Linked DNA regions of Notamacropus eugenii. The protein of the gene in region 2 purifies or fractionates together with the protein of the main gene of each other region. This does not show direct contact. Links are inferred from orthologs where the notes say so. Each region holds a gene or a part of one and is shown on either strand. Other genes may lie near its edges.

Evidence for each region. The genes of interacting proteins can lie anywhere in the genome.
Region 1: the proteins of ANKRD17 (region 2) and HOXB6 purify together in Homo sapiens (co-immunoprecipitation; 3 studies listed by BioGRID and IntAct, with this or other methods). This does not show direct contact. The link is inferred for Notamacropus eugenii from reciprocal best matches to the Homo sapiens genes ANKRD17 and HOXB6.

Annotation. Positions count from the first base shown.
Region 1 is NC_092873.1:352,427,168-352,434,514, forward strand, and holds HOXB6 (homeobox protein Hox-B6), read left to right. Parts: upstream 1-4,326; coding exon 4,327-4,738; intron 4,739-5,895; coding exon 5,896-6,155; 3' UTR 6,156-6,878; downstream 6,879-7,347. UniProt on the Homo sapiens protein: Sequence-specific transcription factor which is part of a developmental regulatory system that provides cells with specific positional identities on the anterior-posterior axis.
Region 2 is NC_092878.1:153,499,885-153,506,899, forward strand, and holds the start of ANKRD17 (ankyrin repeat domain-containing protein 17), read left to right. Parts: upstream 1-4,003; 5' UTR 4,004-4,462; coding exon 4,463-4,840; intron 4,841-7,015.

The DNA.
Region 1 (7,347 bases), on a different chromosome or scaffold from region 2:
AATTGTAGTGATTTTCCCTGTAGAGGACTGTTGGAAGGGGCACCCCTGTGGTTCCTGGGCTGTCCAGCGTTCTCTAACCAGAGCCTCTGTCCTTTCAAGAGCCTTGTTCATGTGAGTAGACTTTATGGCCTCAATAAGTCCCCTGATTTAAGGCCACCGCTGTGTTGTCACTTGAGGGGGCTGAGGAGTAAAGGAGACTTAAAAGGCTCTATTCCTTTTTGACTTGAAGGGAAAACTCAACTTCTACTTTCAGGATTAGCCTGGGATGAAGGTGAGGGTGAGGGTGAGAGTGAGGAAAAGGATGGGGGGGGGGGGCAGGAAGTGAAGAAGGTCTCATAACTGTGACTCTGGTGTTTGGAGCAATCTGGAAAAGGAGAAGAGAAAGAGAGAAAGTGGTGAGCTTCATGTAAGCACCTCCAAGGAAAATAAGAGATGCCTAGTACCAATTTCCATAATGCAAATTAGGTCTTTGTCCAGCATTTAGGATTTAGGGCAATCTTATGGAAAACTCATTTCCAGGGCTATTCTGCCTTTGCTTTGAGTAAGTTCACAGCTTCTGCTGTAATGCAGTGACCCCTAAGTTTAAGAATAGTTTGAGGGGGGAGCAGAATTCCTGGGTGGAATTGAGTGACTAGTAGCCTAACCAAAGTTCCTCAACTCAAGGAAGGTTGAGCACCCTGGAGATCTAGTGACTCAAGGCAAGGTGACTCCAATTCCTATATACTCCCATTTTCCTCCCTTTCTAAACCAGATATAGGTAGGAGATTTATACCAGCCAAGGAAGCACAATTTAACCAAAACTAACAGGAGAAACAAATGCTTGCATGTACACATGACCGTAATATACCATATTCAAAATTAAACCTACACTTTCCCAGATAGCTAACCTAGATAGATGGTAGTATTATAAGATTAAGATATACTAGATTAGAGGTTTTTAATCTTTTTCTGTGGACCCCTTTGACAGCCTGGGAAAGCCTATGGACCTCTTCTCATAATAATGGTTTTAAATAATCGTAGGAAATGCGGAATTTCAGTTACAGATTAAATAAAGATGTAATTTTTCCCCCATCAAAGTTCACAGACTCCCTGAAATCTACACGGTCCCTTAAAAAGTCACTGGTTCCCAGGTTGAGAATTATACATACACACACACACAAACACAGGCACCCCTAGGTGCATGTATGCAGATCTAGGTGTGTGTATACTTCAGACTTACACTCAACTGTTTGACACATACACATTTGTAGACTGAGCTACAGATCCACAGAGATACTTCCAACAGACACAAATGTATGTACATGTCTATTTATTTATGCACCCGCATCTACAGACAGATCGACACAGCTACAAACAGATCCACCACGATTTGGCTCCAGAGCCTATTGCGTCTCAGACCAAGTACTCCCGGCCTGGTCTTTATCCCAAACAAACGGATCAGACGAATAAACGCCCATAAATACCTCTCGGCTTAGATAAGAGCAATGAGCCGCAATTTTCTTTCATGGCCGGCTCCAGGCGCCCCTGGACCCCGGCAGTTGCGGCTGACAGCCCGACAGGCAACTGTCGAGAGTCGTGGGGAACTTAGAGATTATTGCTGTTGATGATGTTAGAATTTTCCCAGCTCTTCCTCCCCTCTCCCTGCAGTCCTTACAGCTCCCAGAAAACAAGCCACTACCATCCCCAAGCTACGAAGTCCAAATCTCAATGCCTTCGAATGAAAATAAATTAAGAGAGAAAGGGGTGAGGGCTAGAGGGCTGCTGTCGGTGGAACTGTCCTCAATCCCAGGTGGTCGTTGCAGGGGGAGGGGGGAGAGCAACACAAAGCTCTTTCTCTGACTCTCCAGAAACTCAAATAGTTCTCATCTCCACCAAATAGACAAAATCAGTTTGGGTTAGCTACATCGGGAATTCAACTTTCCAATAGCGACGGAGAGATGTCAGATCGATAACTGTCTTTGGGGCTTTCCCCCCAGCTCCACCTTTCGCCAGGTCTTTTTTGTTTTGTTTTGTTTTTCCTTACATCTTCTAGGTCTTATAAAAATGACAAACTGAAGCTGGGAACCAGAGACCTAGAGACCTTGGGGGGCAAGTCGGGTCTAGAAGTCTGCCAGTTCCCTGTGTCCTTTTGATATCTCCGCCGCCGCTTTTCTTCCGACCAACTTTTTCACCTACTCCACACCTTCCCCCCATCCCTCACACACTAAGTCAGCCCTGTGGCCCATGGTTTTCTCTTGCCTCCCCTGCCACCTCCATTCCTTGGCTAAAGGGTTGCTTTTACTTGGACGAGGGTCCGGTTCCCACACAAAGCGAGACCGTGACGTGAGGCGAGCTAGAGGTTAGGCAGTTAAGCAAAGACAAGCTGAATTCCCCCTCTGCTGTCTAGGCTGCTTTTCCCCGGTTGTCTAGGGGTGGCCCGTACTCCTGAAAAGCTGTTGTCTGTGAAAAGAGTGACTCCTCTTGTGTAAACAGAATGTTTTAAAATTTATTAACATTGCAATGAGTCCAGATTTACAAATACTCAGCTTCTCTGGAGAGGAATAGGGGAGGAGGTAGGGATGTGAGCAAGTCACAGAGTCCAATGCCTGGGCAGCAAGCTTTTGGGGTTGCATACCTTAAAGGGTATGGGATAGAGGAGAATTTGAGAGAGAAGCAGATAGAGACTCAGAAGGGATTTGAAATTGCTGCGGATGGATAATTGGGGGTGGATGGGGAGGGGATATCCCAATGTATTTTCTCGCTCATTCCACGTTCAAATTACAGCCCCTACTTCCTCCTTTACCGAACAATCAAAACGCCAGAGGATAGATTCTCTAAAATCTATAGCAGCTCCTCCGAGAAAATTGGAGGAGGAGGAGATTTGGTTGGGGCAATTCCCTATCCCCTAGGAGCACGGAAGAATTTGAAGAGAAAAGATCAAGTGGCGGGAAATTGTCAGCACTTTATTGACATTTTTAAAAAATCCTAATGCCCTGAGCTTGCTCAAAGCATTTTGTTGTTGTTGTTGTTGTTGTTGGTAAGAGATCATTTAACTTTCTTGGGAAGTGGAAAGGAACGACGAAGCACAGAATCTGTAATAGAGAGATAAAATCCAAGCAAAGGTCCCCTTTTTGCCTTCTCATTTCCGTCTACGGAAAGGGGAAAAGTGAACGTCCCGACTTCTAGTGCCCTTACCTTTGCTAAGATCTGCTAAGAAGGACAGTGAGAGACACTTATCTGTGCGACTGCAACCTTCCTCTAGGGAGGAGGGCGATTGTGGCCCAGAGGGCATAGTGAAAACTCGAAACGGTAAGGTCCAGGATGGGGTACCCTTTGATATTGTCCATTTCCCACCACCACCACTCGCACCTTCTTCATCGTTTCGTTCTCCCCCCACCCCCCTACAGCTGGGCTCCAACTGGCTATCTCCACTCCCCCTACCCCCCAACGCACAAAGAGTTGGGGAGAGGCAGGAATTCGAGACCGGGGCTGGGCTTAGAGCTGGCGATCAGATAAACAGGAAAGACGATTTTTGAAACCAGTGCCGCGGTTTCCACACACACCCCCCCCCCCCTTCCTGAGAGCGAAGCTAATTAGACAGCTGAGAACTCCGCTCCCCTCCTACCTCCTTTAAAAACAAGAAGAAAGAAAAAGAATTAAACCTTTTCTCTTCAGTCCATCTCAACGGGGTACTCGAATCTTCCCTCCCCACATATTCCCCTTGGGGGAAGGGGGTCATAAGGACTGTAGGGATTAACTTTTCTTAGAACAATTAACTTTTCTCCATCTCTTATAGTGGAGAGGAAAGGGAGGAACAGGAGCATATTTATTTCATCATTCTGGGATCGGGGAGGGGTAGTCTCTTTTCCAAGTCCTCCCCCACCCCTCCCCCCACCTCTTAGCGGTAACAGAAGCCTCTTTCGCAGCTCCTACGTAGGTGGGGAAGGGTGCGTTCTGTTTCTGTTGTTGAGTGAGAGCAAGAGAGAGAAGGAGAGAGAGAGAGAGAGAGAGAGAGAGAGAGAGAGAGAGAGAGAGAGAGAGAGAGAGAAGAAAAAGGAGAAGGAGGAGGAAGAAGAAGAAGAAAAAAGAGGTTGATAGGTTTGTGCGCCGGGGTCCCTCGTGCGAGCCCTGCTCCTCATGGGTGCTATTTGGCAATTCCTGCTTCTGCTATTGGTCAGTGTTTGATCATATGGTTGTATTTCCTTCTGTCCCTCACTGGCACCTCGCCATCCCCCTTCAGCTAAAACCCAATCTCGGATATACTACTAATAGCTAAGGCGCTCGGACTATAAAACACAACAAATCATAAAAGCCCGCTCAGCAGAACCGACCGCGCCTCCCCTCCCAATGAGTTCCTATTTTGTGAACTCCACCTTCCCAGTTACTCTGTCCAACGGACAGGAGTCGTTCCTGGGTCAGCTCCCGCTGTACTCCTCGGGCTATGCGGATCCTTTAAGACACTATCCCGCGGCGTATGGGACCGGGGCGGTCCAGGACAAGGGTTTTGCCTCTTCTTCCTACTACCCACCGGCGAGCGGGGGCTACAACCGGGCTGCGGCTTGTGACTATGGGCCAGCCGGCTTCTATAGGGAGAAGGAGTCTGCCTGCGCCCTCTCCAGCGGCGAAGAGCCTGCCCCCTTCCACCCCGAGCCGAGGAAGTCCGACTGCGCCCAAGACAAAAATGTTTTCGGAGAGAGTGAGGAGCAGAAGTGTTCCACTCCTGTCTATCCCTGGATGCAGCGGATGAATTCATGCAACAGTGAGTGAGGCTTTTCAATACTTTTCTCCCTCCCCCTGACCCTTTAGCCTGTCTGGGCCTGTCGGGTCCTGTCCCTCCCCACAGGAACAGGAAATAACCCGGGGCTCTCATCAAGCATTCACCATCCCCTCCCTCATAGGCCTGGAGACTCCCTCCCCCCCCCCCCGAAAGGTGTGTTTTGAGGGGGGAGGGGTTCCAGGTAAGTAGAAAGTGAAGATGAGTCTCTCTTCTCACAGTTGGAGTTCTAAACTTTGTAGTCCCTCCCTTTCTAGACAGCTAAAAAGAGGCACTGCGGTGGGGGTAGGGGAGTCCGAGAGAAGGGAAGATTACCACTGAGGAGGAAAGGGGAAAGGGTCCCTACTACCTTCCTTCCTCATTTTTCGCCTTTTCACGACTCCCTTCTCTTACTCCCAAGTAGCCGGCCCCATTAGAAATGGAATGAGTCATGTCTTGGTTGGTTGGGAGCGGGCGGGTGGCAGGCAGTAAATACTGAGAAAGGGAAGGTTGAGGCTAGGGGTCTGTGCTCCATGGAGTACAGAGGTAATCCTAGAGAGGAAAGGTAGAGAAGGTGTATCATAGAGAGCCTGTCTCCTCATCATCAAGGGGATAAGGAGAGACAGAGATGGGTGTCTGTATCAGATCAGATTATTTGTTGTCTTTAAGGTCTCAAATTGACGTCCATTAGCAGGACACGAAAGTGTTGGACCGTTAATGCAGAGTATCACGGATCGATTCACGTCATTGTGGATTAAATGGTCAAATCTATCACCAGTTGGGAGGGAGAGAGGCTAGCCATCTGGAAGTGAAGTGGAAGGGGGGGGGCAGAAGAGGTACAAACACCTGGCTACCGCCTATCTAATTCTCCCCACTCCTTCCCAGCAGTCTTGTAGCCTCAGGTAGGATCTCTCCCACAGCCACAAAAGCAACAAACTCCTGAAAGCGAGATGAGGAAGAAGGAAAAGAGAGCAAACCAATGAGGCCAGGAGATTAGAGGGTAGGTGGAGAGGGAGATGACCTGAGAAGGAAGGGGAAAACTGTGTCAGGGCCACAGGAGAAGGCATCTTTACTCTTCTGAAGCCAGGGTCCCCAGACAGGAGTGGGAGGGAGAGGACGGAGAGAGGGTGACCGTGTCATAATGTCTTCTTTCCACTTAACAGGTTCTTCTTTTGGGCCCAGCGGGCGGCGAGGCCGTCAGACATACACGCGCTACCAGACTTTGGAGCTGGAGAAGGAGTTCCATTACAATCGCTACCTGACTCGAAGAAGACGCATCGAGATCGCCCACGCCCTTTGCTTGACCGAGAGACAGATCAAAATCTGGTTCCAGAACCGACGAATGAAGTGGAAAAAGGAAAACAAGATGCTCAACTCTTCCCAGCTCAGCCCGGAGGCAGAGGAAGAAAAGCCCACAGAGTGATCTCCAGGAAGGACCGGGACAGAGGGAGGGAGGGAGGGAAGGAAAGTGAAGAGGAATGTCTGGGAAGGTGGCTGAGGTGGGGGAAACGAAAATAAGCATATTATCAGATGCCCTCGTGGGAGGGAACAGGAAGAGGGTGGATGAGAGATTCTTAATCACCTCAGAGAGAGGCCGGACTAATTCCATTCCCTGTGGAGCTCCCACCCTGCAGATTTCTCCCGTCAGCTGCTAGCCACTAGAGCCCCAGATAGGCCCCTACTCCACGGTTTCCTCTCTGTCTCTTACATCTCTAACCCTCCCACAAAAGCTACCTGGGGTTCCTAGTTTGTGTACTCTAACTGAGGACCGAAAGGAACTCGCTCATATTGTGTTTCCCGGAAGCAAAGCAAATTGCTGTTTTCCGTGTCTTGTCTTCATTTTGTACAGTGTCCCATGCACGGTTGAATTAGAAATTTGGTTTCCCTTTTGAGAGGGGAGGTCTCTGGGGGGGGCCTCCCCCTGTCCCCCAGACCTGTCGCCTCTTCCCCTCCCCCCTTAATTCACTGGAAGGAGCACAGACTACCTAAAAGGAAGAAGAGGAGCAGCCGCAGAAGAAAAACAAAGTTCTATTTTATTAATTTTTCTATGTGTTGTGTTTGTAGTTTTGTCTTAGCTCTCCGGCGTGAAATACTGCGGTAATAATATTATTATTAATATTAATGATAATAAAAATGTGAAAACTCGGCCCGTCGTTGACCCGCCCTCCCCTCCCTTCCAACTTCTTTCTTTCCGGGGAAAGATAGCCCCCAAACAGTCTGAAGACAGTCCCAGTGGGCCGCCGCTTGGTTGCAAGTAAACCCCGATGTAACGCCCAGATTCTCCGGCGGGGTCACTCGCTTGGCTCGGATCAGGAGATATGCTGGGCAAGACAGAATTCGGAAATTACAATTAAGACAGATATATTCAGTCACAACCCCTGGGCCTCCCTTCCCAATTCGCTTCTCTTGGTCACATTTCACATTAGCTCCAAGATCGCCGCCGACTCTGGGATGGCATTCACAGCCTGCATTCCGGCTTTCTCTTTTCTTTTCTGCTCCCCTATTTGGTCTCCACCCCGACAATTGTGTTAAGGAATCTCACCCCCACCCCCATATACATTATAAATCCGAAGAGCAAAGGGGAGTGATTCCCCCAAGGCTTCGTGGAAGGTTCG
Region 2 (7,015 bases):
AATTGTTCTCCTGGTTCTGCTCTCTTAAGTGCATCAGTTTATAAAAGTCTTCTCATTTTTCTGGAATTGTACCCTTCATAATTTCATACAGCACAATAGTATGCCATTTCATTCATATATAAACACTTATTTAGCCTTTTCCAACTGATGGGCATTCCCTTCGTTTCCTCTTCTTTGCCAGAACAAAAAGAGCCAATACACTTTTGGGACATGTGGGACTTTTTGCTTTTTCTTTGTCTTTTTAGGCCTATTGGTATCTCTGGGTCAAGCGGCACATGGAATTTAGTAACTTTGGGAACATAGATCCAAATTGTTTTCTAGAATGACTGGACCAGTTACCTGCTCTAGCAAAAGTACATCAGCGTACTTGTTTCTCATATAGCTCTTCCAACAACTGTTATTTTTTTCCTTTTTGTCAACTTTGCAATATGGTGGTTGCCTTAGTTTACATTTAGTTATTAGTGATTTGGAGCATTTTTTCATATGACTATTTTGATTTCTTCATCTGAAAATTGAGACCTCTGTCAGAGAACCTTGTAGTATTTTTACCCCTCCTATTCCCTAATTTTTCCTCCCTTTGCTTTCTACCACCTCTTTATCACAGGTACTTCCCCTTACTTTCTTTTTAAATCCCCCTTCAAGATTCTTGATTCAAGTTGTTTTATTTATAACTAATCCCTCCCCAAAGCTCCTCCTCCTCCTCCCTTTGTTCTCTTTTGTTTTGCATTTGTTCCCATTTCCCTAATTAGTTGAATATATCTCCATCCTAAATTCTTTTGTGTTCCCTCTTTCTTTGGCCAGTTCAGGTAAAAGTGAGAATGAAGTGATAACCACTTTTCTAAAGCCTTCCTCATTTGTATAGACTTCTACTTGGATGTGATTTAAGAGGTAAGTTCCCTTTCCTCTCCAATCTCCCCTAGTGCATCTCCCCCTCCCCACTCTTTTTCTTTACTAAGGTCGTTAAAACACGACAACACCATTCCCAGGCTGCCTTATTTGATTCCCTCCATGACCCTTGGTGCCATTTGGATGCTGAAGGGACACGTGTATTATTTCTCCCTTTCCATTATAAAGCATGTTTCCCCGTTTAATCCCTTATTGTTACTGCTGACTCATGTTTGCCTTCTTACTGTTTCTTTCTGGCTGCTTGTATTCTCTTTTCTTTGCCCTGGAAGATCTGAATTTTGGCTATGGAATTATTGAAGGTTTGCACTTTGGGGCTTCTTTTAGAAGTTTGACTAGTATATACTTTCTATTATTGCTTTTTTCTCTGGTGCTAATAAATTTGGGCAGTTTTCTTTCATGATTTCTTGAAATGATATCTCAATTGTTTTTAAATTTATTTTTAGTTTTCAACATTCACTTCCATAAGCTTGAGTTTTAAATTTTCTCCCCTCCCTTCATGTCCTTCCCTTCCACAAGATGGCGTGCAATCTGATATAGGCTCTCCATCAACATCCATATTAAAACTATTTTTACATTAGGCAAGTTGTAAAGAAGAATTAGAACCAATGAAACACCAAAAAAAGAGCAAATAGTATGTTTCAATCTGCATTCAGACTCCAGAGTACGTTCTCTGCACTTGGATAGCATTTTCCATCAAGTCTTTTGGAGTTGTCTTAGATCCTTTCATTGCAAAGAACAGCCAGATTCATGAGTTAGTCATTGAACAACGTGGCTGTTACTGTGTACAGTGTTCTCCTGGTTCTGCTCACTTCACTCAGCATCAGTTCATGCGTCAGCCAATCAAAATGGCTTCTCCTAACTACTTCGTTAGCAGACTAAAACCAGTTTTAAAATATATGTACACTGTCTCAAGTCTCTTCAAGTTACTTTCAATATGTCAGGCTCCTCATTTACCTCTTCCCCATAGAGAGTATTGTCAGAGGAGCTCTGTACATGCCTACCCACCATTTCTCTTCTGTTTGCGAAGAGGAGTTTCATTACCATTGGCTGAGAGAGGGGGTTGAAGAGAACTGTCGTTCTCCCTGCAGGAGAGAGGCTTACTAAGAGCCATCCCCTTCTGGCTCTCAGGTTTGGTTTTGGTTTTTTCACTCTCTGCCTAATTATGCTTCCTATTCCAAAAGCACATTTGCCCTGCTGCCTTTTACTCTTCCCTTGTTTTGTGAGACAGTTAGGTGGTACAGGGTGAAAGAGTGCTGGATTTGGAGAAAGGGAGACTTGAAATCAAATCCTGCCTCAGACACTTACTAGTTGTATGACTGTGGAAATTATTTAACCTCTGTCAGTCTCAGTTTCCTTATTAGTAAAAGTAGAATAATAAAGGCACCAGACTCAGGGCTTGGTGGGGATCAAATGATAACATGTTCAGAGATTTGCAACCTTTAAAATGCTATATAAATCCTAACTGTTAGCAACAAAACAGTTCATGTTAGTATGCTTTAAACTGGTGAAAGAATTCTGTGTAAAACATTGTGGTAGGCCCAGCAGGGGATCATAGCTGGAAAGGAAGTCTGGGGTGATCGAGTCAAACTTCTTTCACAAATAGTTTATATATACTGTCTCATCTTCCATTAACTTTTGGCTGAAAGCAGCAAAACCATCAAATAGTTTTATCTTCTTTTACGGAGTTTTGCAAAAATGACTGAGGAAGATAAATTCGATTTCCTTAAGCAAGCTTGGAAATAAAAAACATCTCAAGGTGGAGAAACCAGAATCCGGACTACATGGTGTAAAGCACTGGCTTTGAGTTCTGATCCTGGCTCTGCTCCTACTCCCTTTGTGCTCTTGGGCTGGGGGTGATGTCTATGAACCCTTTACAATGACTAATTGTTGAGAAATCCTATCAGAATCACAGAAAGGTAGTAGAATCATCGATTCACAGCTGGAAGATCATCTACTTCAACCTTCTCCTTTGAAAGATGATGAAACTAAGGCCCAAGGGAGGTTAAATCACTTGACCAAGGTCAAAAGGTTGTGTAGGAGACGGATTTGAAATCCTGTCCTGGGACTCCAGAGGCAAAACCATTTAGTCCAGCTTCTTGATTTTGCAGGTGTATCCCAGAGCGGTTGGGTGGGTGACCTTTGGGAAGTCACAGGGCAAACAAAGTGCCCAAGCCCCATGCGAACCTTTTTGTGATTCCAAGTTGCTCTTACAGACCAAATTAAAAAAAAAAAAATCCCATTTCTTTAGAATTGCACATGTCTTTTTCCTTTGGGAGGAAAACAAACCTAGATAAAAGATGCCAGTTTTAAGCTGCTGCCAATCCAGCTTCCTGCCGCCGTCACCTCTTTGCTGCTTTATGTGCAAAGCACACTTCGTTAAAGCCATCAACACCAAAAATTGTTTCAGACTTTTGGGAGATCCCAGGCTACGGCTAGCAGTCTGCAAGAGCGATCTAAGCGTCCCGTCTCGGGCGGGAGGCCACGGGTGCGGAGCGCGGCAGGCCTGGACTTGGCTGGCATGGTCTGCTTGTAAAGGGCGCCTGGCGATGCAGGAGCGGGGAGGGAAGGGGAGAGCCACCGCTGCTCAAAGCAGAGCAGCTGCTCCGTCAGGGTGGGCGCGGTCCACACCCCCCACTGTGCAGAGGGGGAAACTGAGGCATCAGGCCGGCTTGCCCTCCGCTCTGCGTGCCTAGGCCGCGCCTGCGTCTGGGGCACCCCGCCGGGCACCGAGGGTCCCTGGGAGACAAGGGGGGTGGCCCTCGGAACGAACTTTGCCCCCCGTTCTCCTTCCCCTCCCCCCGGCGGCCCCTCTGCCCTCTCGGGCAGCCAGTCTCGCGCAGAGCCTGCTCAGACCCGAAGAGCCGTTTCTACAGCGGCTCCGGATGCGGCTAGAGCTCGCCGTCGGCTCCTTGGAAGTGGGGGTAGGATTCCCCCCACCCCCACTGCACTGCGCTCCCCAAAGGGCCCGCTTCCGCGAGAGGTAGCTGCTCGGCAGGCGCGCGCGGCGTGCGGCGAGGCCTGATGACGTCAGCGGCCCTTCCGGCCGCGCCTGCGCAGTACACACTCCTCAGTGGTAAGGGAGGGAGCCGGAGAGGGAGGTGAGGGGACAGTAGCAGGGAGGGAAGGTAGGTGTGTGGGGGTGTACTGGAGGGGGAACGAAGAGGAAAGGCACCCGAGGCAGCCTGGCCAGCGGCGCGCGGCGGCGGCGGCCCTCTCCCGCAGCGCCGAGGAACGGAAGCCCTGGAGAAGCCCTCCCCTCCCTGCTCGCCTCTGTCCTTCCGTCTCCCTGTTCGGCCCCCTCCCCCCGGGCCTCCCTCTTCTCCGCAGCCCCCCCTCTCCGGCCCTCCCCGCCCCGCGGAGGGCGCTACGGCTCCCCGCCCTCAGTATCGCGAGAGGTGGTGAGAGCTGGCGGAGCCGCGGCGGCGGCGGCGGCGGCAGCAGTAGAGGTGACCGAGGCGGTGGCGGCGGCGGCGGCAGCGGTGGCCCCGGCCCCGACCGCCCAGTGGTCCCGTCGCGGTTGAGCGGAGCCCCCGCGCCCCCCGGCCTGGTCCCGGGGATGGAGAAGGCGACGGCCCCGGCGGAGGCGGAGGGAGACGGGAGCCCCCCGGCGGCGGCGGCGGCGGCCCCCCCTCCCGGGGAGCTCGGTGGCCCCGGCGGCGGCGGCTCGTCCCCGGCCCCCCGCGGGCTGGTGCGGGTGTGCGACCTGCTGCTCAAGAAGAAGCCGCCGCCGCAGAACCCCAAGGCCAAGCGCAGCCGGACCTGCCGCCCCCCCAGCAGCAGCGACAGCAGCAGCGACAGCGACCACGGCCCCGCCGGCCCGGGCCCCGGCCCCGGCGCCCCCAGCAGCAACAACAGCGAGGAGGACGAGGACGACGACGACGACGACGACGACGAGGACGACGACGAGGAGGAGGAGGAGGAGGAGGTGTCTGAGGCAAGGGCCTGCGGGCGGCGGGGGGCGGCTCATGGGGGGAGGGGGGATCCCCGGCACGTGGGGGCGCGGGCCGGCCTGCCCGGGGCCGGGGAGCCGGGGCGGGGCCTGGGCCGGGCCGCCTGTCACGGCGCCTCCGAGGCCGTACTTTTCCATCCCGGCTCCGCTGCGGGATTTGCCCCCGCGGGCCCGAGGGCCTCCCGACGCTCGGCACCCACCCCCACCCGCACCGCCATCTCCCACGGAAGGCTTCGGAGCAACTTGGCCTGACAGCGTGCGTGCATTATGCAACACCGCGGAGAGATGGGGTGCCGGGGTGCGCGTGCGGGGCGGCGGGGGCCTCGGGGTCCGGCCGTGCTGCCGAGCGGGGGGCTCCCCGGCTCCTGGCGTGCCCCACTGATCTGATTTCATAATAGCGAGCCGTGGATTTTCACGGGTCCGCGGGCAGGGGGCGATACCGGACCTTCGCTCGAGGCCGGGCCAGCCCTTCCTGGGCCGGGAGCCTCCAGGTGGCTGCTCCGGCCGGGGCCGAGAACCGCTGGCCAGCGGCCCTGTCATTTATTACCACTCTCCCCTACATCTCATTTAATTCGGAAGGTACCGATTGAAGATCCTTTTGGGCCGTGGGCATGTTTTGTCAATGCCAGTTTCTCATAAGTAGCTGATCCCTGGTTTTTGTCCTCAATCTAGTAAAATAATAAAACAGAAAAACAAAAGGTAGTAGTAGACTAGGCTGGTCCTGTAAGTTAGTACTACTGTATATTTTATCTGATTCTGAAGGAATTTTGCTAGGCCAGAGAGAACTCATTTTCAGAACCCAAAAAAACCCTCGGCCTTGAAAATAAGGGCAGTGGAATAATAATTTTCTAGGAAGTATATCAATCTAATCAGCAGACAATTTACTCAGCCCTCTCCGTGTGCTAGACCTCTGCTATACAAAACCCAAAATGATGCAGTCCTTTCAAACAGCTTACAGGTTATTGGGCTTATAAGCCCAGTGTACCCATATAAATATATATGGAATAAATCTGAAATAAATACAAGCTAGGTTGGAGATGGAGGGAAAAGCATGGATAATAAGATGCTTGTTGACTTTTGAAGGAAACGGGCTTTTTGAGGAGGAGATGATGAAAGAAAGCATTTTAGGCTTGAGAGACAGCCAGTGCATTGGACAGCAGAGAAAGGAGGCCATCTCTAAAGGAAACCAAGAAAAACTTGATGGCTGAATCAAGGAGTGCAGGAAGGGGAGTAATATATGAGAAGGCTGTACAGGTAGATTGGGGCTGTGTTTTCCAGGGATTTTAAACGCCGAGCAGACTACTTTATGTTTGATTCTTGGAGCAAAAGGGAACCACTGAAGTTTATTGGGTAGGGAAATGACATCATTCTCTCAAGGAAGTCACTCACAGTTTTGTGGAAGATATGAGAGTGGGGAGAGAACAGTTGGGGGCTGTTGCAACCGTACAGATAGGAGATTGAGCTAAGGCAGGGCTCAGAACACGAAGATTGAGCACCTGACTGAGTCTGTCAAGAGAGGGAGAGTGAGGAGTGGAGGACAGGGCTGAGGTTAAGAACTTGAAATACTGGAAGAATAGGCTTACTGTCAGCAGAAGTAAAGAAGTTTGTTCTAGAGGAGTGAGTTTGTGGGGGGGAAATAAGGGATTCTGTTTTGGACACTGATCAGTCAAGAAACATTTAATAAGCACCTCCCAAAGTGCCAGACCCTATGCCAGGCCCCGACAATACAGATAGACAAGAATAGAAAGATCCCTATTTGAAAGAAACTTCCATGGCCGTAGTCATGTCCATTTTGAGATGTGTCTGGGATAGCCATTCCAGTGTACAATGGGTAGGTAATTTGTGGGGGACTAGATTCTGGTGAGAGATTAGGCTAGATACATAAAGCTTTGGGAGTCATAGGCATAGGGATTGTCATTGAACCCAGGAGAGCTGAATATAAGATCATTGAGTGAGAAGATGGAGAGCTGGAAAGGGGCCTTTGAAATGTTTTTTGTTTGTTTGATTTTGGGGGTTTTTTGTGAGGCAGTTGGGGTTAAGTGACATGCTGAGGGCCACACAAGCTAGTGTCAAGTGTCTGAGGCTGAATTTGAACTCAGGTCCTCCTGACTCCAGGGCAGGTGCTCTATTTACTACACATTCCCTTATGAATGGTTTTGC